Linked DNA regions of Drosophila melanogaster. The protein of the gene in region 3 purifies or fractionates together with the protein of the main gene of each other region. This does not show direct contact. Each region holds a gene or a part of one and is shown on either strand. Other genes may lie near its edges.

Region 1 (7,178 bases), 7.1 Mb from region 3:
CGTGCCAAGTGAATCCTTGGCGCCCGTTATTGGCATGGGGATGTTGACTGGATATGTGGATATATGGAATGGACATGTGTACAGTGGCCAGTGCAGCAGATTGATTGGCAGTCTCTATTTTTAGCCAGACGATCTTGATTGATTGCCGGCTCCAAAGAGAAGGAGGAGTGCTACTTTATCTGCGAGCTGCGCTTGTCAAGCCTTGATTATGTAATGAGTGAAGCTGGCCGAGATGGACGCTCTACGCAGAGATACTGAGATACTGTATCCATAATGAGCCCGTTGAACTTGAGCACATAGATATCGAGATAGATAGATAGATGGATGGATGGATGGATGGATGGATGACTGGTATGTGCGATCGTGCAGAGATGTATCCACAATTCCTTAACGTCAGCGGTATAATTGTCACACGACCTAAACTGGCCCCTTGATCATTGATTGAGCGTAATAATAAAATTCAATTGGACTGCCTGCTTCGCTCTTGACTGACCCCGGACCAAAGACCACGGAACACGGAGAGAGCACCCAATAGTATAGCATATATATGTAGTATATACTTATACCCCGAAATCGAAAACAAAAACAAGTTGGAAACATTCCATTTTAGAGTACTAGCAGCATTTGGTCTATTGAACATTGAAGCTATGTTATTGTTTACTATGCTTCCTGCAGCGATTGAGTAACTTATAGTAAATCCGTTTCCATCGGAAACATTATCTCTTTTTGGGCCCAGACAGATCGGCTGGAAATATTCCATGGAACACCCAATAAATTATGTACGAGTAGTTATCATAATTAATTGTCAGCCAGCCAGCGAATGAAGCCGTCAACATTTTTCGCACTTACTCAGGGCTGTGACTGCATGCCGATAATGCTGGTTATAATATGCGATCAAACAATTGTGCGAGTGATTGAACACATAATGCACATATAGTGGTCCCCGAGCATGAGACCATCTTATCGCCTGACAACGCACCAAAGACCAAAGACATCAATCCGTCCGAAAAGGCCACATAATACATAACATCTGGACGATCCCAGCCCCCAGATGTCCTTATGTCCATTCAATAGTTGCCCACACTTCACTCAAGTGCTCACTGATTGTGGGCAATCGTAAAAAGTGATCGTAAATTCGACTTGATTATAATTTGGCGCCAGCCATTAAACATATTTAATAGTAATACAAAAAAGAAATCAAATAAACAGAAGCTCTTATCACATATTGCTTTCAGCTGTGGTCTACATTTCGGCTAGCATGATATAGAAATGTGTACTTGGACGAGATCTATCAGTGCAATGGGATTCAACGTTTGATAACCAAGAGAAAGGCGAACTAACTGATATTTTCCGTATTTAGTGATTTCCCCAATTCCCCAGATGATTGGAAACACCAAAAAAGCTGAGTGGCAGAAATTAAAATTTCTTGGGAATTTCATGCATATTAGTATTTAAAAAAAATTGAGATTTCATGATGGCGCCACACAGGAAATAAATGATTTTAACTGATTAATAGAAATGGCTTTATAATTATAATAATAATTATTTTTACCCTTGAAGTATTTAAAATGCATAACTTGTATACCCAATATTAAAAATGTTTCTTGTCAGAAAGATAAGCCCGCCCAATTTCTCGCAGTGCATACGAATACACACATGTGTGCTGGCGATACTTTTCCTGGCTGGCTGGCATGATTTGGTCAAAGCACGATATTAAGGCAATAGGTCAATTGTTATAAATTGACATCAATGTAAAAAGCGTTCCCCGAGCAGCCAGAATCGAAGGCATTGCCACCAGAGGCACGCGCTCTCCGCTGGATTCTCGATGCTGGATGTTGGATGCTTGGTAGCTGGATTCTGGGGGAGATCGCCGATTGGGGAGATGGTGCATAACACTGATTCGATCAAGTCGGCTAATTAAATCATGCCGACTTCCATGCAAACACGCAAATTGCATTCGGAGAATGATAAATCGAATAGTTTAATCGTGGGGGTAGTCGCCGGGCAATTGCCATGATTTCAGAAAACTGATTCAAGGAATGGATTTTCCCAGAACTAAAAGGTCGCCATCGGTTGATTGGTGGAGCTTTCGCACTTTGTTACTCCAAATACTTTCGATGATTTGTGCTATATTACTAAAACGTGTTCCCGAATGTACGCCTAAACCCAGTTTCATCCCACACAGTCGCTATTAAATTTTTAATAGATTCCCAAAAACAATAAAGATAAGCGTTTTTTTTTTTTTTTTTGGAATATAAACATGAATGAGTCTAGTACTATGGATTGTAACAAAGAGATATTTCAATTCGGCTAACACAAAGATACAGTTGAATGAAGCTATTGATAAATTAAACAAACGCTTGTCCTTGTGATTGAATTCAGTTTTCGAAAACATTTTTTTTGGGGCTTTGGGCACAAAGAATCCCCTGAGTCATATTTTGTTTTGAATCGCGAATGTAAAATCGTGGCTGTAAAACAACGGAGTCAAATATCAATGAACCCGCGACAGGCGCTTATGAAATAGGCTCGAATGTTATTTCTATATTCGCAAGTGCAGATCAGTGGATCGACAGCATTTATTTATATGCATTAATTATAATTGTCAATATGTGTACATATAAAACACAATGCGACAGTGAATTGAAATTCATTGAGAGTCAGAGTCGGAAAACGTGCAGGCGCCGTTGAAAAGACGCCTTCAACAAACTGCAATTATCAATTTTGTGTACGCATTAAGTATACGTCGTATACCTCCAGTCAGCCATACGGCTAAGTACATAGGCGGAATCCTATATAAATACTTCGTAGGTGATAAGCGTTATCAGTTATCAATTGAACAAGAAGAAGATGTAGTAGAAGAAGAAGACGACGAGACTCAAGCTACGGCAGCACATCCCATAGTTGGGAATTAGCGGCAATTCAATGCTACTTCCTAATTGAAAAATTAAATCATCTGGGCGGCAATTAAGATGCGACTGCACCATCTCCAACCACATCCATCCATCTCCTTCGCAATTTGCCCAATTGAGCCATAGATAATGAGGCGGCACTGGGCTCTTTGACGTAAACAAACGACATTGTTATTGTTTTAGTATCTATGTAGTATGTATATGGCTGTAAACAAGATCTGGCCACCCGAACCGATCTGTGGAGCACATTTTTTCGTGCATTTACATAAGCGTATTGAAATTTGTGTACATTTTGCATTATTATTTTTCTCTCGGTTTTTATTGGGTTTAAGGAACCTAAATTGATAGCCGGCCGAGCGGAAAATTCTGCCTTTCTGCGGAACTTGGCTGTTGGCCTTGAACTCCCCGCCACAGTAAAGAAATTTTGATTGAATCTATAGCAGGAAAATTTCCCCAATACATCATTATACCTCGATCTACACAAATTGGCACACGCTACCAACGATATATCTGTACTGTACTTACATAAATGTATGCTATATGAAAAGGAGTGTTCCTCTTGTGAGCAATATATGGAATCTATCTATACTTGGCAAATGTAAAGTAGCGACTTTTTAGTCAGTTTCTAAAAATCTAGTGATTCAGCAAAGGAATTTGTATAGAATCTACACCACAGCTGGGAAACCCCTTATAGAGCTATTTGGCTCCTGCTCTCCAAAATTGCAAACCGAATCGATGACTCAACTCACTTTAGACTGTTCCACTGCATCCGTAGCTTGTACAAGTTGAAGTTCATATCCGTAAACGAGCGCATTTCCAGGTCGTCGAGTTGCGAGTGCGTGATCTTTAGGTCGATATTGGTGTCGGCATTGAGCTTATTGGCCAGGCTGTCCACGACGGCGTTGAAGGATTCCAACTTCTCGCAGGAGAGCTCCACATGATTCCAGGCTTTGCCCGTTTCGCAGGTGCAGGGCGAGATCTCCGGACGCACGGAACATTGCAGCGAGGCCAGGTGAAAGACGGTGTACACGAGGGAAGTCATTTTCGTAGAGTGATCTCAGTCACTCGGTGAATGCGATTTCACAATTCTTTGGCCAGAGCAATAATATATTTGTATATGTACACTTTTTCGCTATCTACGATATCTCAGTTCACAGTTCGGTTCACAGTTCACAAATCACGGTTTTCCGGCTCGAGACCAGGACACGTTGCATTCGCTCGGACGGCGGATTATCAACTGTTCGAGCAGGCAGCTCGGAAAACACGAAAGACTCGGGAAATTACCCACTAGGCGCACATATGCGTGCGTGCGGGGGTTTCCATGGCAGCTCGGTTTTCCAGCAGGATTTCGTTGATTCTCTGAACCGCTGGCATCGGATTTCAAAGCCGCACTGTCACTACTTTTGAAAGATCTTTCAAATAACACACGCGCACCGCACTTAAGGTTAAGTTCGGTCGATCGATCGATCGTATCGATCGTATCGAATCTTAACGGCTGGGATATGGAGAACTGGAGCTAGAGCTGGAGCTGCTACTCCTCCGCCTCCTCCTATCTGCTAGACCTTCTGACCCGCTTGTATATAGATCGCCGATGCTCGGAATTAATCTTCTAAAAAATTTTGTATTTGCCTGTTTGTTTGTCGAACACCGCGAGTATATCTCTATTGTATTTTTTTTTATTGATGGGCTGCTGATCACGTCTAGATTGCAGGGCGGTCTCTTTGCGACTGGGAGTGGAAATGCTAACGTTGAGGATTCGTATGTGCTGCTGCTAGCTGCTGCTGCTGCTGCTGCTGCTGCTGCCTACTGCTGTTGCTGCTGCCGGCAGCGCTGTTGCTGCTGCGGTGCGATATGTATTGCTGCTGCTGCTGCTGGTTTTACTCTCTCTCCGATCTCTTGGCGCTCCGGCGAGATGCTCGAGCGGCTTTTTGGCCAATTGGGGACTTGAGATGCGGCTATAATTGTCCACGACACTCAATTACATGTTCTGTCGGCGCCAGGCATCAATCTCCATCTATATCTGCAACTCAATCCCGATCGCGATGTGCGATGTGTTTGTGCCCCCATCGAGTGCTGATGTTTGTTGCTACTTGCTACATGCTACTTGCTTGCCCATGTTGCCGCTGGGATCTTCTTCGGAACCCAGTTCTATGTATGGGGCATCATTATATTATCGTGGACACATGTTGGTACTTACATATGTGCTGCTCTTGCTCTACGCACTCCCATCAAATTGTCCTTTTACATAGACACACATCTGGCACTCGCCTCGCTCGCTCTCAAGCTATGTTTTTAATTATGACTTTTTGGATCGTATCATATCGGAACGTATCGTATCTGATAGGATCGTTGGCAGTGTTTGAATGGAACCGGCTTGTTTAAGGATCTGCGCAGCCCAATTGAGATTGGGCCAAGTGAAAATTTTCCACTGGCGCCAGAGCGATTCCAAAACTCTGGCGGGGATGGGATCAGGCAGCAGGCAGCAGGCGACAGAGAGCAGGGAGCCGGGAGCAGGAGCCATGCATCAAAGTCCGCTGCCTTAATTTATCTCCAAGTTCTGGGACCGCATGCATAATTAAACACTGGGCGCCTTAAATGCGCTCGCCACAAATTCCGCAAATTCCACGGATTGCGCGTGCCAACGATGTCTCCTCCTCCTCGTCGTCGTCGTGGTCGTCGTCTGCAGTTCTGGCTGCAATTAATCATCGGGATCATCGGGGGGCGGCCACTGGCTGAGTGACTTCTGATGCCCAGCCAACACATCCATCTCCATTTTCCATGCAGACTGCAAGCTCCCGAGGAACCTTGGCACGATTATGTTATGTTTAGGGCCGTCGGAGAGATTAACTTAATTACATACAGCCGGGCTCACTCATTTAGAGGGATTTAAAAAATTAAATCTTATGACCGGCTTTTATTCGATCAATCCAATAATGTTTCAATTAATAATATTCCTCTCGTAATTGAACTACTTCCTGTTTTAGATCTGTTAATAAATGGGATAAACTCTTCTTTTATGAACATATTTTCCGAATTCCACAGTTTTTCCTATCAAATAATGTCCATATCTCTGGAAGGTTTTTTTAAATAAACTGTTTATAGTTTTCAAATTGTCATGATTCTTATGAATATATCTAACATAAATTTATTAGAACGCACGCAGAATAATTTTCTAAGAATTGCAGATAGTTATTTAAATTATGATCTAAACTGGCAGCTTGGAATAAACTAAAATGTTAAACTCTTTAGCACAGCAACTGCCGAGCTTAGCAGATGCCAATTGTGGTGTTACAGTGCTGAACCGCACTGTAATCAATAACTGTAGGTACGAAAATATACCTCGATTACGTAGCCAATCTATTTTTGGCGCCCAATCATCTCGAGTAAATATTTAAAGAAAAGCGGCAAATATTTATAATTATTATTTATTCATATGTTTTCTTTTCTTTACGGCTTCTTGGTATTTCTTTTTGTTTTTATTTTATTTTTTTTGCACATAAATATTCTCAACATTTTTATGTGACACATTTTCGTGTTTCGATTGCAGGCGACAACAATAACAAGAGTAGCGTAGGCTTCGGACTTCGATGACGATGAAATGGGATGGTGCGGGTTGCTGGTACGATGGGATGGTGTGGATATGCCTCCGGTAATGCTTCTGCTGAAGGCTTATCCACTTGAATAGATCTGCACATTCCGGATTGGTCGTCATCGGCCGTCCAGCAATCATGTGCCATCGGCTCACGTCAATGGCGATTTGGCGCCGGCCAAAATACTTGGCTGGAATTCGGAATTTGGCTGTCGTCACGGGTCTACGGGTCTGTTCTGATTTTGCAGCACGTCATCCGACGCGGGGACGCCACCGCCATTTGGGACAATTGAAAGCATTCCGCTCGGTGTGTGGTCTAATATCCAAGTCCATTTAATCCAATTCCAATCGCCATTGTTTCGGTTAATATGTGTGTTTATTTTGCTCATTCATGCACCGCAAAAATTGTTTTTGATTGGGCTCTGTTGCGTCTTGACCCATTGTGTGTGTGTATCTCTGTGTGTGTGTGGATAAATATCAGTTGGATATTATTATTCTAAATAGTTTGAAGCATTTGCTAAGGGTCCACTCCGTGTGTTGGTGTTGTCGCAATCTTCGTCGTCTTCTCGATTTAAACAGAACTTAACCATTAACTAAATTAAATACAATTTATTAAAGTAAAATGTACAAGAAGCATTAGGTGGCCAGGCTTCCGTCTCCGTATCTGCCCCCTACTTTTG
Region 2 (7,589 bases), on a different chromosome or scaffold from region 3:
AAAATATACGTTAATTTTAATCGATAAAAATTTATTATATTAACTTACCGTAGTTTTCCAATTCTTGAACCGGTTCGGTGGGTATTGAAATGTAATTTTTTAGACCTTCCTTATCATTTCTATGGATGCTGTTCACGTCATAAAATGTAGTTCTAGCATTACCATGTATGTATAGTGTTTGGTTAGCTTCAATCGAATTCGAAATATTGTATTCATGGGAAATGTTTGGATTATTATCATTAACGTATGAATTATGCAGATTATAACTTTCACGAGGCAGCGTATCTGCAACACAGGGTCGAGGGTTTATAGGTTCATATATTGAATCATATGTAGAAGAGCTCTGAAAATTAAAAAATTATGAATTATATAAATTATTATTATAAAATGCAAACAAAATTTTGTTCCAAATATACAATTAATACATCATTTGGAAGTTATAATCGTAAAAAGGAATAAAAGATTCGGTGAAAAGTATGTAACATGTATATATGAAGAATCGATTTCGATCGTATATATTTTTTTGTTGCAAAGGAACACTAGCCGAGTCTATCTGCCCATGCACGTATGCCCACTCTGATTTTGGGAACAATATAGGCAATAAAACCTGCCGGACTAGCGAATGAAATAGATGCATTTGTACATCATAATCCACAAAATGTTGTTAATCCATCTATTTAACGTTTAAAGTTCTTTCTAAATGTGGAAATAGTTATTGTTTATTGTTTTTTTTTTTTTAATAAATGTATATACATTAACATATTTCAAGTTAACTAAAAGTTCAATGGAAAAAACTGCCTACGTTCGTAAGTCATTTAATTATTCTTCAGCTTTGCTGATTGCATATCTTAATTTTTGTCGTGCACTTCTATTAGATGAATAAGATTGTTTATCAGACAGAAATATACTCCAGAGTAATGAACTTCAGATTTTGTGTACCTTGCCTGTGGCATCATGCTGCATCGCATATTGGTTTGCATATATTTGTAAAGGATTCGTTGTCTGGTTATTTTGTAAATAATCAATTGGTTTGTTGAATTCCAAAGTGGCGTGACGAAGCTCACTGTATGAAGAACTCACAGCGCTCTCTGGACTAGGTGGTGGCGGTAACTCATCTTTTTCGTTGTCTGAAATAAAATTAGTGCAGACGGATAGCATCTTTTGCGTTGAGCTATGAGAAGAGTCCATTGCTTTGACATTTAAATTATTTTATAATTAATACTATACAATTTTTATATAAGCATTACATAAACATACCAGTTTCATTAACGTTTGAATATGTACTCGCAGAAATCTTAGTTTCGTCTGTTAATAGTTCTAATGTTTCTATTTCTTTGCGAACAGAACCTAAATTAGAATATATTAAGCTTTTGCTTAAAGTCTTTGAAAGGGGCTTTGTAAAGCTGTTGAGAGGTTGTGTTGGCTTAGCTTGTACTCCCAAAAGACCCTTTTTTTCCATTTGAAGTTTATGGTAAGCAAGAGCTTCTAATTGCTGTTCCAAAATTGCCGGATTATCTAAAGTTGTTTTTCTGTTTATTTGAGTATCAGCAACTCCGAATTCAGAGCTGAGGTATTTTCTAAAAGGCATATGCCCCCTCATTGTTTTCTCGACTCCAATCAGAGGTTGTGAATATAGTGGTTCCCGCGAACACAAAACCTGTCTGCTTGATGGAACCTGAAATAAATAAATATTTATGCTTAAGTATACGTTATTATACACAGTTTTTCAGAATAATAACTTTTTATAATACAGGGTATAATAAGGGTATTATAAATAAAAACTAAGATGTGACATGCAGATTTTAATGACTTTGTACGCTGTGCAAAGTTCTAAATATTGCCACAGTTTGCACAGTTTGGTTTTTACCGAAGTGAAAAAGGCATGCGATAGATATTTAGGTACTGGTACAGTTAAGAATATCCCCTAAATTTACATATGTATACTTAAAACAATATTTACTTAAAAATTGATTATGTTTTTTTTAATGAATTGCTCCTGATATGTCGTGTAACAATCCATTAGTCTGTACTTGTTTTTGATTTCTGTCATCTGAATGGTAGCAAATGTTCGCTCACAGTCCAGCCGATCAATAATATATAAGTATATTACATATGCTTTTGTAGAGGGACGGAAATACCCTCTAAAACGGTACAATAACGGACTTTAAGGCTTAAAGAACAAGCCTTTGAGGAGAATCAATGAATTGCTTTGTATATAACACAAACTGGCTATACTAAAGTATGTATGTACCTGAGGCATTTCATTATATTTTATCGGCGGCTTAGGAGGTATATCCAATCTCCTCTTTACTGATGCATTTTGATTATTACTTATCTTGGCGACTAGCTTCGCAACTTTTCCATGTCCAATACATACAAGCGGTGAGCCTGTGTCACCTTTTGGAAGCGACAGCTCTCTAAGTTGCTGGGCCACAGACTCCATTGAAATTTAACAAAACGCGATTCCGTTTTCCTACAACAATAATAAAAACCTTTTTCTAATTTAAATTAAATCAAACATTCAAAGTCGTGAAATTTTAATTTAATATTTTCACTCCTTAACATTAATGAAATTACACCTGTAATGATGATAGTTTGGTTTGTTTTTAACCTGCATATAATTTTACTATATGTATAAAACAATTATTTTTATAAAATTATTGACATTTCAATACTAAGTGGAAATAAAACTATCGCTTATCGAATTTATGAGGCCCAGCAGTGTGACCTTAACACGAGAGCTAGAAAATCATTCTAGGCGCATAGGCTCGTATTCGAACTTATTAAATATGTAGTACTCACTTCGTACAATCGCTTTATATCTCGAAAGCTAATAAGACCATAGACACACTTAAGCGAGATATTGAAGCTAAATCCATATAAAACATATATATGTAGTTTTGCCTAAACGGCACCTTGGCAATCAAAGAAAATAATCCTAATCTGATTATAGGCGGACTATAAGTCAATGTAAGGTATTGAGAGAACTAATTGTTTGATTGAGACTACTTTAGTACGATAGAATAAATGAATAGAGTGTGAACAAATTCATGCCAAAGGACTTTAATTATTACATAAACATTAAACCGTGCGTTGAAACAATATTGTTATGTATTTTTATTTATAAATCTTAAAATATCAACGAAAAATTCGCCAAAAACATCGATGTCCACCAACATCGATGTTTCTCCACCTCTAACCTAAGTCCTAGAATCGAACTAATCCCAAGTGGGTAACGTGTACATTTTGTTTATTTTAGCAGGTATAGTCACTCCAACGAACAATCGGACACGTGCACTCTTATATAAGATGTGTCTCAAAGTGTCAGTCTGTATGACCTTCCCTGTAAGCGTATAGATCTCAGGAACTATAAGCTAAAAAGTTAAGATTAAGAATGCGTACTGCAGAGACATACGCGCAGAGCCAGTTTGCTTTCATGCCCGCTCTAACGCAGATGTACAAACCGCACAAAATTGCTACACCCATACCTTTCAAAAATATTTGTTTTTTTTATTATATATTTTTCTAATTTCTATCGGTTAACCAATAACATTTTGGCCACGCCCCACAAACCCTCCGAAAACTCCCACGCCCACACACTTTTGAGGAATAATTTTATTTGCATGGATTATATAATTTATTTTGCCTAGCGATGTACCCCAACGCCACCTTTCCAATCCGTCACGAATACATTTATGATATATTTCGATTTATTTATTAATATTTTTTTTTTTAATTTTTTATCGAAATGCCGATAAATAAGGAAATATTTTGCTCTTCCGTTTGTCGAGTAAGGGATATCTGACTGTCGGGGAACTTGACTATAGCTGTCACTGGAAAACTTTATGGGAAAGTTTCATTCAGGGATAATTAGTGAGACAAGTTTGTGTAGAAGCGAACGGATGGCAAAACAGACGATGAACGGCGATATCGACTCCACCGCTTTCCAGAAACTGATCAATAATTGATAAACCCCTGAACAAATTTTTAACTCAAATTTTTATAATATTTCCTTTGGGCCCAAACAAAACAAATGGCTGTCATGTAGGTGGCTTCCGATAAATTCGCTCACTCGACCACTGTTATTAAAAATATTTATAAGTTAACTTTATGAAATAAATCTCGTTTCAACATCATCCGAAATTGCATTTTTGTTCTTCTCCCAGACAAAGGAATTTTAAAATAAATTAAATCTGGTGCGGCTCTTTCAATTTATTTTTTCGTGATATTTGGTTCAGCTAATTTGCTAATAAATGTAAATGTAAATGCGAAGTCATATTACTTCATATTCAAGAAGAAAATTCTGTTCTCTTCTTATCTTCATGTAAGAAATTCACATTAAATACCGTGGAGGTCTGAATATAAATATTAATTTCATTGAATAAAGTTCCTCGTTAATATAAAAATGATTGCAAACCACAGTTGCTTGTAAATAAGTACCATAACGATATCCATATTTTTGAACACCACACCCAATCGTCTAATTGTTTGGCCCAATCGAAGCGAAATTAAGCTCGGTGGAGGAGTATTGTAAAGGATAGGGGAATGACCGATTTCTAAGGAGCCACATAATTAGGAGCCAAAATAATTATTAATTAATCAAATACCTTTTTAGTCAAGTGGTATAAAAACCCTAAATATGGGAAATCTATCATGAAAGGTGCACTTTTAAAAGGAAGCTGACTTGGAATCACTTCACATATGTACGGCCATAGAGCTCAATTCATCAGCGGAATCTTTTCAGAAAATGTGGGCACGGTAATCTAACTTTTTAATGGTTAAAGAAAAAAGATTTAAATGGTTGTAATCAGACAATCGTAACTGACATCCTATTCTACGCTTCTAAACAGTGGTCTCCTGCTGTCACAACGCACTATTAGTGATCATCTTCAAAGCGTGGACTTCCGTTTACGATGATTTATTTACTAACCGGGAACAATACAAGAGTAAACTTCTTTCGAACTGTAATTTTTTCTGTCCGATCACGCAGGCTGCCTTTCTGCGTGCTTATCGAGCAGCGTTTTGCTTTCCAGCAACTTTTAATTACAGATTAAAGTTTCTTATCAGTCGTTAACTGCAATTCAGGAACGAACTTTCATATAAACATATTTTATACATCTGTTCAAAATCAAATAAATATACATGTGTAAATATGTGTATGCATATTTTAAATACCTATGTACCTATGCTTGCATTTGTAAGCATACTTTCATCTATATGAAAAAAGGGCATAAAAATGTATAACAAATTCCATTACAGATGTGTGCAAACATGGATTGCAAGTGACAATCTCTGCAAATGCATATATGTATGTATGTATGTGTGTACTTGCGCATTCACATTAAATTTGGAATGATAACAATTGTTACATCGAATTTCTCAATACCTATACATAAAACATAATTGCTTTAGAGTTACAACTAGTTTTCTTATTTGCACATACAGTTTGTCAAGAAACTGTTTACACACTGTGAAATAAGTTGAATTTTTGACTTTAAAGGTAAAAACTAAGGGTTCTTTGCTTAAATTAAACGCAATTTTTTTCTAAAATATAATTAATCAATATTTATTTTACTTATGAATCAAAAAACGAATTAAAAATATTAATTATACAAGAAAATAAACAACAAATTCCAAGTTTACACACTTTTGAGACTGTCAAGTATATAAATATCAGTTTTCAACATTTATAATCACAATTATACTTTGCATTTCTTACAGTTTTCAACACCTTTAAGAGGAAAACGTAATTTGCGATTTGTTTATTACTTTATTAGCCCAAAGCCATATTTAAAATATTGAAAAGGTAGATGAAAGGATTTTGTACTACTAAAGTAATAGAGTGATTCGAACAATATTTGCTTTTAAGTTACATTTTTAATGGAGACTGTGGGTGGTTTTGGTAACATATGGCTTGCCAGAAAATGCGGTGAAGTGTAAATTAAAATGCTTAATTGGGTATAATAGGTCTGGTAGGATGGCCAGAAGGGGGTGGTCACCCAAAACAACCAAGTTTAGAAGCAAGCATAAACGACCCTGTAAAGTATATATATATATATATAAACTTGAGCAGGATTTCTTACCAAATCGATCTGGGCATGTCCGTCCGTGCCCACACTTTTGAAAAATGTTTGATATTTTGCATTTTTGTTATCAGTCAGATTTATCAATCAGATTTTACAATCTACCGATTTTTACGTCGCTCACTGTCACGCCCACACTTAAAAAAAATTTTGTGATTTTTTTTCATGTTATTATTTTTCTGGTCATTTTCCACTGGTATATCGAGAAAATGTAGGTGAAAGACGGGAAATGGTACTATAGCGTCTACATTTTCTATATATTCTATATTTTATATCAGCCATTGTAAGTTGAGCACGTATTATGCAAAGCGATATATTTTTATTTAATTATATCTATATTTAATTATTCTTTATTTTATTTTTGTCTTATGTATTAGATGAAAATTGAGAGTAGGTAAAGGTACTAAGCTAGGGTCGAGTATGTCGAAGTCCGATTATAATGAGATTATATTAAATACACTCGGCTTTGGCCTGAGCACCCATCGCTGGTGATAAAGAATCGTTTAAATGCATGTCTCTCACAATGTGTCTTCATCTGTACTTGTTTCGCTGTATTTGTATTTATTTACAAGACATACACTTAAATACTATGTGGCACAATTGTAGATGTGTGAGTTCTTGATTTATTTGAGGTATTTAAAGTGAGTGTTTTCACGTAATCCGGCTTAATTCGTAGACAACGTTCATTGTATTCGAATCGGTTTAATTCGCGGATGGTCTGTGTGTTTCTTAATCTAAGAAGTATATACAAAGTGAAATTGGACCAGTGTTGGTAAAGGTAAAAAATACATGTAGTAAAATAAAAATGTGATACAAATTGTGGCGTTTGCTATTCCCAGGCTATCCCTAAGGGGCCCAGCGTAATGGCCAGGATGAAATACAATATCGCTTTGATTGGAATCCTAGCTTCTGTGCTTTTAACAATTGCTGTAAATGCTGGTAAGTGCTACAAGTTAAGCTAACCATAAATTATTGAAATCTTGATTTTTATCGAATGATATAGATTATGTAAACTAAATCAAAAATAAATGAGCCGATCGTGTAAAAACATGGTTTAACTACTTAAATCTCTTACAGGAGATTTAATTATGAATGATTTTCTCTACTTTACAAAATTACACTTTTTATATTATATTGACTATAATACTATAAAATTTATTAGAATACAAAACTTCAAATTTGCTCCAAAAAAGTCAAAGTTATAAGGATTTGGAATATTCAAAAAAAAAAAAAAAAAATCAAAGTTTGACAAATGCTGTTTTTGCCAGTTAAACCGCAATGTCCAACTGGATTCTTTTTCAGTAAATTGTTAAAAACGGATAGCAAGAGAAATTCTTTTGCCAATAGCTCCGTTAAAAAATCATATATTTCATAAAAATCGTTTGAGTCCCATCAATCAAAACATATAAAATTAGAGGACATTGCACCTTTAAAACTCAAAATCATTGATAACGATTTATAGACCTTATAGATGGTTCAGGTAAATACATAAGTGGTAAAGGGGGA
Region 3 (7,373 bases):
CACGTTTGACCTGCTCGAGATGACTGGGAATGTTGGAAGTCTGGCCGAGAGTCTGGGATTCTCTTCTCTACCTATTTTTGGTATCCTCCACCGACACTTGCCGGCAATTAAGTCGTTGGCCCAGCCACGATCGTTCACTCCGCCCCGGTTTCGTTTTCATTTTATCCCTTACTCGAATCCAACTTGAATCATCCGCGATCCACAGGATTCATTCTTAGAAAATTTGCTGACGATTCTTTTGGCTTTTGTTGTCACAGCAGTGGCTGCCGGCTGGGAGATCCCATTTCTGTCAGCATCGTCAGCTAATTACGCGAAATTGCCCAGATCTCCGATCTTTAGTGCGAGATATCTCAGCAAGTGTTGACTTTGTGGGCAAAATGTCTGGAATCCCAGCACCGATCACTGGATCAGATAGCACCAGCTGGTTTTTGAGATCGCCAAGCAATTGAGATGATCTCTCGATGGCTAAGAGTAGCCCCTAGGAACTGAGTAATTGTAATGGCATATTAGGGGGCGAGATCGCGTGAAAGAGTTTGCTATCGATCATGATCGCGTTTTTTAAGTGGTGCCTCTTGGCAAGCTTTCGGTTTACCAGATGTTAGGTGATCTAGTTTAGTGGGTTGTCAGTGGCGCTCAAACTTTGTGATCGCTCGTTAATGCTTGTTTGCTAATCATATTAAAAAAGCTTCATAAGTTTTAGATTTTATATACCCAAAGCCAAGTTCCAATATGCGAAAAGCCCCCGTGATAAACGCACCATTTATCCCCTCAATGACCTCATAAACAAACACCAGACAGCAACTCCTACTCGTTTATATACCCCGCCCTATCTAATCTGCATTCCAATCGAAACCCGAACCCAAACCTCCTCCATACAATGGTCAACAATTGCAGAAGTATATATCAGATGATCACACGCCGACGACGCCGATGAAGATGATGATGATATAGTGCCATATAAACCGCTCGCTTAGTTTCTTCCTTTTACACGGCCAAGGAATGCGACAGTGCAAAAAAATACAAAAAAAAAAATTAAAGAAAAGGGCCCAAAGAGCGAGTAAGAGAGAAACAGAGAGAACAAGATGGGGCCATTCAGTTTTGGTTGCTGGAAAATGATTAATAGTCATGCGGTGGTTGCCTTGAAGCAGGCGGGATGAGGGGGCGGTCAGGGGCAGTCGGCGGATGCAGTGCAGCCAGTGGAGACGCCATCGAAGTGGAGCAACCGTACACGGAAATAAAGTTAATGAAGATTCGGTGATTCGTATATTATGCACATTAAAGTGATGTTAGAATAGTTAATTGTATTCCCAAAATTATTGAGGGGCCTAAAATGAAAAATGTACAGTTAACAATATATTCAAATTTTTTAAATCAAACTATAAATATGTTTTTTTTTCAGTGAGTGAAAGCACTGCTGCTGTGCGCAGTAAACTAAAATCAGCTCTGTTGCAAATTTCTTTTGGCATAAGGCAGACAAAGATGGATAATGGATGGGAGAGAGATGCAGAATAGGAGGAAGCAAGGTGATCGTTTCTGTGTGGGAAATTTGTTGGTTGGCTCGAAAGAGTATTCAATACCTTACAGAAGGGTTGTACCAAGGATTTGGTAGTATTATTTAAGAAAATTAAGAATCTTGATGATAAAATTTCAAATTTTTGTAGAAGAAAATGCCTTTTACGTTCACTTTATTAAACAAACTATAGAATAAGTATTGAAACTATCGATAACTTTTTATGAAAATCACAATTTAAGGGTATTTTAAGTTGCGATCTACAAAGCCAATCTTCCCTCTGCATCGAGTCTCTCTTGCCCGCTCCTCTGATATTATTTTTAACGATTTAATGTTTTGCGAACTGTTTAAATTGTGCAAACAATTTCAGCTAAGTGCCTGCCTACCACTGATGATGATGGCGAGCCGGGGACGATGGTCAAGGGGGTTGGGGTTAAAGTGGGTTCGCACAGCTTTTTGATGTGGCACAGGAAGTGCAGCTTTAATGAAGCGTTTAAGTGGCAGCTGTAGTTGTTGTTTGCCATGGTTGTTGTTTGTGCAGCACGGAAGGTGTCATGCAGTTGTTGTTGCCCAATGTTTGTTGCTCTTCATGGTTCAATGGAAAGGAATGCGCCTGAAGTGTGAAGATGAGAGCGCTGGGAAATTGGCCAAAAACACTTAGACGTGACTGTTCAAAATTTTACCTTAAATATATGTACGAAATTTTTGCTTGGCAAATATGGTCTTGGGTTTTTACAGCATTTACAGTATTTAAATGACATAATTATATATTAAAATCAAACTATCTAACTAGCTACTTTATATATATATTCAACGAAGACCAACCTTAGTCAATTTGAAGAACTTCCCTACGACAATATGTTGGCCCCAAAAAGTCTACGTTTCATAAACTAGTTCACCTATCGCAAATGGAAGTTTAGCTTTATCAGACGCACAGCCTCACCAGTTAGCTGGCCTACAAAACCACGAAACTCCATCCAGAAGACCCTATAAACACCTATCGCAAAAGTAGTTCCCAGTTAAGCAATTCGAGAAGGCATGGGAAAAGAACAGGTCGGAAACTTTATCTAAATGCTGGCGCTTATCAGGCGGACAAGGCGCGAAGGGTGGGGGTCAGGTGAATGGAAAGGGAATGGAAAGAAGCGAACGAGAAGAGAGGACGCAACACAAGAATTTATGACTCACACGGTGGAAAGAGAAGCTGTGCACTGGGAAAAATTAAATGTAAAGAATAATGGCATTTTAGCTTAGCATAAATTTAAGAAATCTGTTATTAAAATTTGTCCTATTATAAATAATTTTCCATTTAAATATTTAATTGTTTTATTGTTTGAAAAGCACTGAATAACAATCACATGAACATGAATAAAATGTTAATACGTCAACATAAATTGAATTATTTATTGATTGCAATCCTACTGGACCAGAAAAACTTATTAAAATATTATTTACGGATTAGCTTTAATAATTCGAGTGCATTCGTTTTTTGATGGCCAAGGGACGGGGGTTCGAGTTGATCGGGAAGTAAAAGGTTCACATAAAAATGCCGACAGAGAATAAAAATCCTGAACTGCATAATTTAAACGATTTCAATGACACCTTGATTAATATCAAAGACAACACAAAAGGGAACTCGAGAACTGACCACTCTACCTGTTGGCCCCTCATCGCCCCCCTCCCCCACAGACATTTCCATGAAATTATGAACGAAACGCAACGCAACGCGCAATGCATTTGACCAAAAGATAAAAAATAAGGAAAACATATCGGGAGGGAAAAAAAACCAATCAGGCAACGTTGAAAACCAAAAATAAACAAAGGCAGGGCGCAGGTAGAGGACTAAAGGAGGGGCAGGGGTATGGACTGGAACAGGGGTATGGGGTGGGGCAAAAGGGCAGAGGCTGCAACAGTTTACCTGGCAACAAATCAAACAAAGAGAGACAGAGAGAGAGGGAGAGAAACTGAAGGCGACGAAGAGAGGGCAGCGCAACTTATTGCAATTAAGCGTGATTAATTCAGGATTTATACAAATTAAGTAAAACCCACAGGCGATCGAGGTCGAGGCTAGGTCTACCCCTCTCCACCCCTTATACCCCATTAAACTATGTGTAAAAGCGGTGTGACAACATTTTTGCTCTTGCACTAGGTAAAGAGCCTGTAAATGGGTTCCACAGTCCAATATCTTTAAAAGATTCGTAAACTTTGTAAAACATGGCATCTCAAAATAGAAATAATTAAGAAATCCTTAACAGTTTTAAATAACTCTTATAGCATATCCCATAAACATATAAAAGGTAATTCACGCAGTTCACGCCAACGATGCTCTACTGTATGCCCGCGCTCTTCTCATTTTATTTCCTTTTTTTGTTCATCAAAAAGGAATTTCTTGAGATTTTTCGCTGCGGCTGCTCCTGCCTATTGGACTGGTCTTGGAAACTGGAACCCTTTGCCCCCACTGGGTAGGAATGGACCGGGGGCAGAAATGGGGGCTGCGATGAGCAGGCGACGCATGCGCCAAGATCTCTGGGATGGACACGCTCTCCGCGACGGACTCTCTCTTATTTAGAGCCTGTCTTGTGCTGCTGCTTATTCGCATTTCGAGTTGATTTGCCTGGAATTTTATTTCCTTCAGGGGGCGGAGGGAGTGGAGGGAGCTCTGCAGGCGCGTTGAAGGAACAGAATGAATCACGGAATCGTCCAATTTATACACGAGTTCTCTTTGTTCCTTTGCGAATCAAACTTGTTTCTTATCTCCGGCAATTTACTATTGTTATGAAATATACGGATTCTTTTTCGGGTAATACCAATATTAGTTGCTTTGAGTTTTTAATTCCATTGGATAAATAATATGGTCTTTAAGCTTATTAAATAACTTTATTAAAGATTATAGTCCATTTTTCCATACTAACCATACTTTTCCATACTACATATATCAATGTAAGTATACATTTTAAAAGATCTGATTGCCACGATATGGATTTTCTTATCTTTTTTGCATTAAGAATGGCACTACCTCAACCATTTCGCACTTTAAACATCGCTACAAATTAAAATTTGTACTATTTGAATGACACCATATGGGAAGGCAATAAGTTATAATAAGCCTACTAAAGTACCAGAGTTCTTGAAAATATCTTTAAGTTTTTTTTTTAATATCCTTCACTTAAAGCGTATTTCAAAATTAAAAAAAAATTTTTATGATCTGAACATTTCACCCACAAGAAGTAATTATAACTTTGTTTAAAATTTAAATATTTACAATAATAAATATTTCTCGACAGGTATTTATTAAGCCATTGGTATATAATATCGGACATACCGTTACTGGGTTTTTGGGGAATTTCGATGGCATCGATTCCTCTCGCTTGGAAAATGTGTGTCACAGCACTGCAATTCGGACTGAATTGATCGATGATCGAAGACCCTGCTACGCCACCCGCCGGATTGGGGGCGGCAAGGGCGGCCACTTGGGGGGCGGGGCCATTGTCCGCTTGTAAGGTGGGCGGCAAGTGGGTGGTGAGTAGTAATAGTAGAAGAGGACTGCTGAATATCACAAGGCGGGCAGTTGTTGTTGCTGTAGCTTTTCTTCTGCAATGCAGATGTTGTTGTTGTTGCTGCTGATGTAGCATTTTGATAACTCTTTCTTTATTTTAAGGGGAAAGAGAGAGCGAGAGACAGGGCTAATTTCACCGGCGTTTGTTGTCGTTTAGTTTCGATTGGGATTCAAATCGTTTTGACTGTGTTTGTTCTTTTTGCGGTAAATAATTTTGGCAAACGCAGGCACCCACACTGAAATACGCACACTAATACACCGCTTTGTTTGCCGGCATTATTATTATTATGAAACTTATTTTTGTCGTTTGCGTTTATCAGTGCGCATTTTGCGTTCAGAAGCAATTGAAGTGCAACATGGTTGTCGGGTGTTATTAAATCGGGATTATTAACAATTAACAAATAGCGGCACACGCACTGCACATAGACGCACTCGCTCCAACACACACGCACCCGCGACGACGAAAGGCGAATTGAAAGCAAAGCGCGCAACGCAGGAAGAAGCAGCACAGCGCGTGCTCGCGAGTCGGCTATAAAATTTTGACTGAGAAGTCTCTTTGAATTTCGACTGCTTACCGTCGATTCTTTTCAGCCTGCGCTTATCGATTGGTGACCGCGGCTATCGATGTCTATCGCCTTACACCGTTTTTAGGTATGTACAGTGTCACTAGGCTATGAGAATTCCATTCTGGGAAACGTTTGTTAGAAAGTTGTGAAATTTAAAAATAAAATAACGAAAGTTTTACAAGAAATAGATTGGTCCTGTTAATACATACATACATATAAATTATTATACATATACAATTATACATACCATAAATTTTTTTTGTTTGCAAACACACGACTGTATATTTATTAATTGGTTGGTAAGCTAAATGGTTTTTGAATAATTTAATCACAAAAAGTAAAACTTCCATGTCGCGCTTATAGGCGAGATGAATGCCTATTTAATCACATTTAAAATATTTTGTGTACAAAACAAATAGTGTGGACATCTAAATTTATTCGAAATATGTGACATCGATAAAGGAAGGTCCACACTATCGAAAGCCACTATCTAGCCGCATTGTTCATCTCTAAACCAGCTGTTTTGGCGGCAACCAGTTTTGGTCTGAAGCAAAACAATGTTTATTTAAATAAAACGCAATTTAAATAACAGCCCAAGTATGGCGCATGAAAGCGCTGTGCACGAGGCGCTGAAAAAGCATTTTGGCCACTCGAAATTCAAATCGGATCTACAGGAAAAAGCCGTGAAGTGCGCTGTTAAAAGTGAATATTGGCCAAATTCTTACCCAATCTCGCAGATAATACCTCTCGTAATTCTCTTACAGAAAAGCAGGATGTGTATGTGTCGATGCCCACGGGCTCGGGTAAATCCCTGTGCTTCCAATTGCCTGGTTTGATGTCAGAGAATCAAATAACCATTGTTTTTTCTCCGCTTTTGGCTTTGATTAAAGATCAGATAGATCATTTAACCAAACTGAAAGTGCCGGCGGATTCTTTGAACTCCAAGATGAGCACCAAAGAAAGGGATCGTGTTATAATGGACTTAAAGGCCGTGAGAACCAACCTGAAGTTTCTCTACATAACCCCGGAACAGGCCGCCACCAAGTTTTTTCAAGACCTGCTGCAAACCCTCCATAAACACAATAAGCTTGCCTACTTTGCAGTCGACGAGGCGCATTGTGTTAGCCAATGGGGACATGACTTTCGACCGGACTATCTAAAGCTGGGGGAGCTGCGTTCCAAATATTCCGACGTCATCTGGTTGGCTTTGACTGCCACAGCTTCAAGGGAAGTCAAGGAGGATATATATAAGCAGTTGCGCCTCCACCAACCCGTGGCTCAATTTAGCACTCCTAGCTTCAGGAAAAACCTCTTCTATGACATTGTTTACAAGAATTCTATCGAAGATGACTTTCAGCACCTGGCAGATTTCGCCAGACACTGCTTGGGCAATCCGAAGGAGTTTAAGGATACACCCAAGCCACAAAGAGGCTGCGGAATCGTATATTGCCGGACTCGAGACCAAGTGGAGCGCATGGCGATAGGGGTAACTAAACAGGGAATCGGAGCAGTAGCCTATCACGCTGGTCTGAAAACAGGAGAACGTACTGAAGTCCAGGAAGCGTGGATGCGGGGTGATCAGCCCATTATATGTGCAACCAATAGTTTTGGAATGGGTGTGGACAAACCAAGTGTGCGCTTCGTTATCCACTGGGATGTACCCCAAAATGTGGCTGCTTATTATCAAGAATCTGGTCGCGCTGGACGCGATGGCTTGCAGTCATATTGTAGATTATACTACGGA

Evidence for each region.
Region 1: the proteins of dlp (region 3) and ltl purify together in Drosophila melanogaster (affinity purification with western blotting; one study listed by BioGRID). This does not show direct contact.
Region 2: the proteins of dlp (region 3) and apolpp purify together in Drosophila melanogaster (affinity purification with western blotting; one study listed by BioGRID). This does not show direct contact.

Annotation. Positions count from the first base shown.
Region 1 is NT_037436.4:7,516,458-7,523,635, reverse strand, and holds the start of ltl (larval translucida), read right to left. Parts: upstream 4,640-7,178; 5' UTR 3,952-4,639; coding exon 3,659-3,951; intron 1-3,658. Other genes in the region: CG7546 (uncharacterized protein), read right to left, coding at 7,170-7,178.
Region 2 is NC_004353.4:1,058,162-1,065,750, forward strand, and holds the start of apolpp (apolipophorin), read left to right. Parts: upstream 1-2,807; 5' UTR 2,808-2,975; intron 2,976-4,516; exon of another isoform or gene 4,517-4,758; intron 4,759-6,083; exon of another isoform or gene 6,084-6,220; intron 6,221-6,661; exon of another isoform or gene 6,662-6,861; intron 6,862-6,922; 5' UTR 6,923-6,946; coding exon 6,947-7,022; intron 7,023-7,589. Other genes in the region: Zyx (zyxin), read right to left, coding at 49-343, 940-1,190, 1,258-1,675, 2,252-2,443. UniProt on the Drosophila melanogaster protein: Constitutes the major component of lipophorin, which mediates transport for various types of lipids in hemolymph. Acts by forming lipoprotein particles that bind lipoproteins and lipids.
Region 3 is NT_037436.4:14,630,839-14,638,211, reverse strand, and holds the start of dlp (dally-like), read right to left. Parts: upstream 5,612-7,373; 5' UTR 5,140-5,611; coding exon 4,830-5,139; intron 1-4,829. Other genes in the region: RecQ5 helicase, read left to right, coding at 6,229-6,331, 6,394-7,373.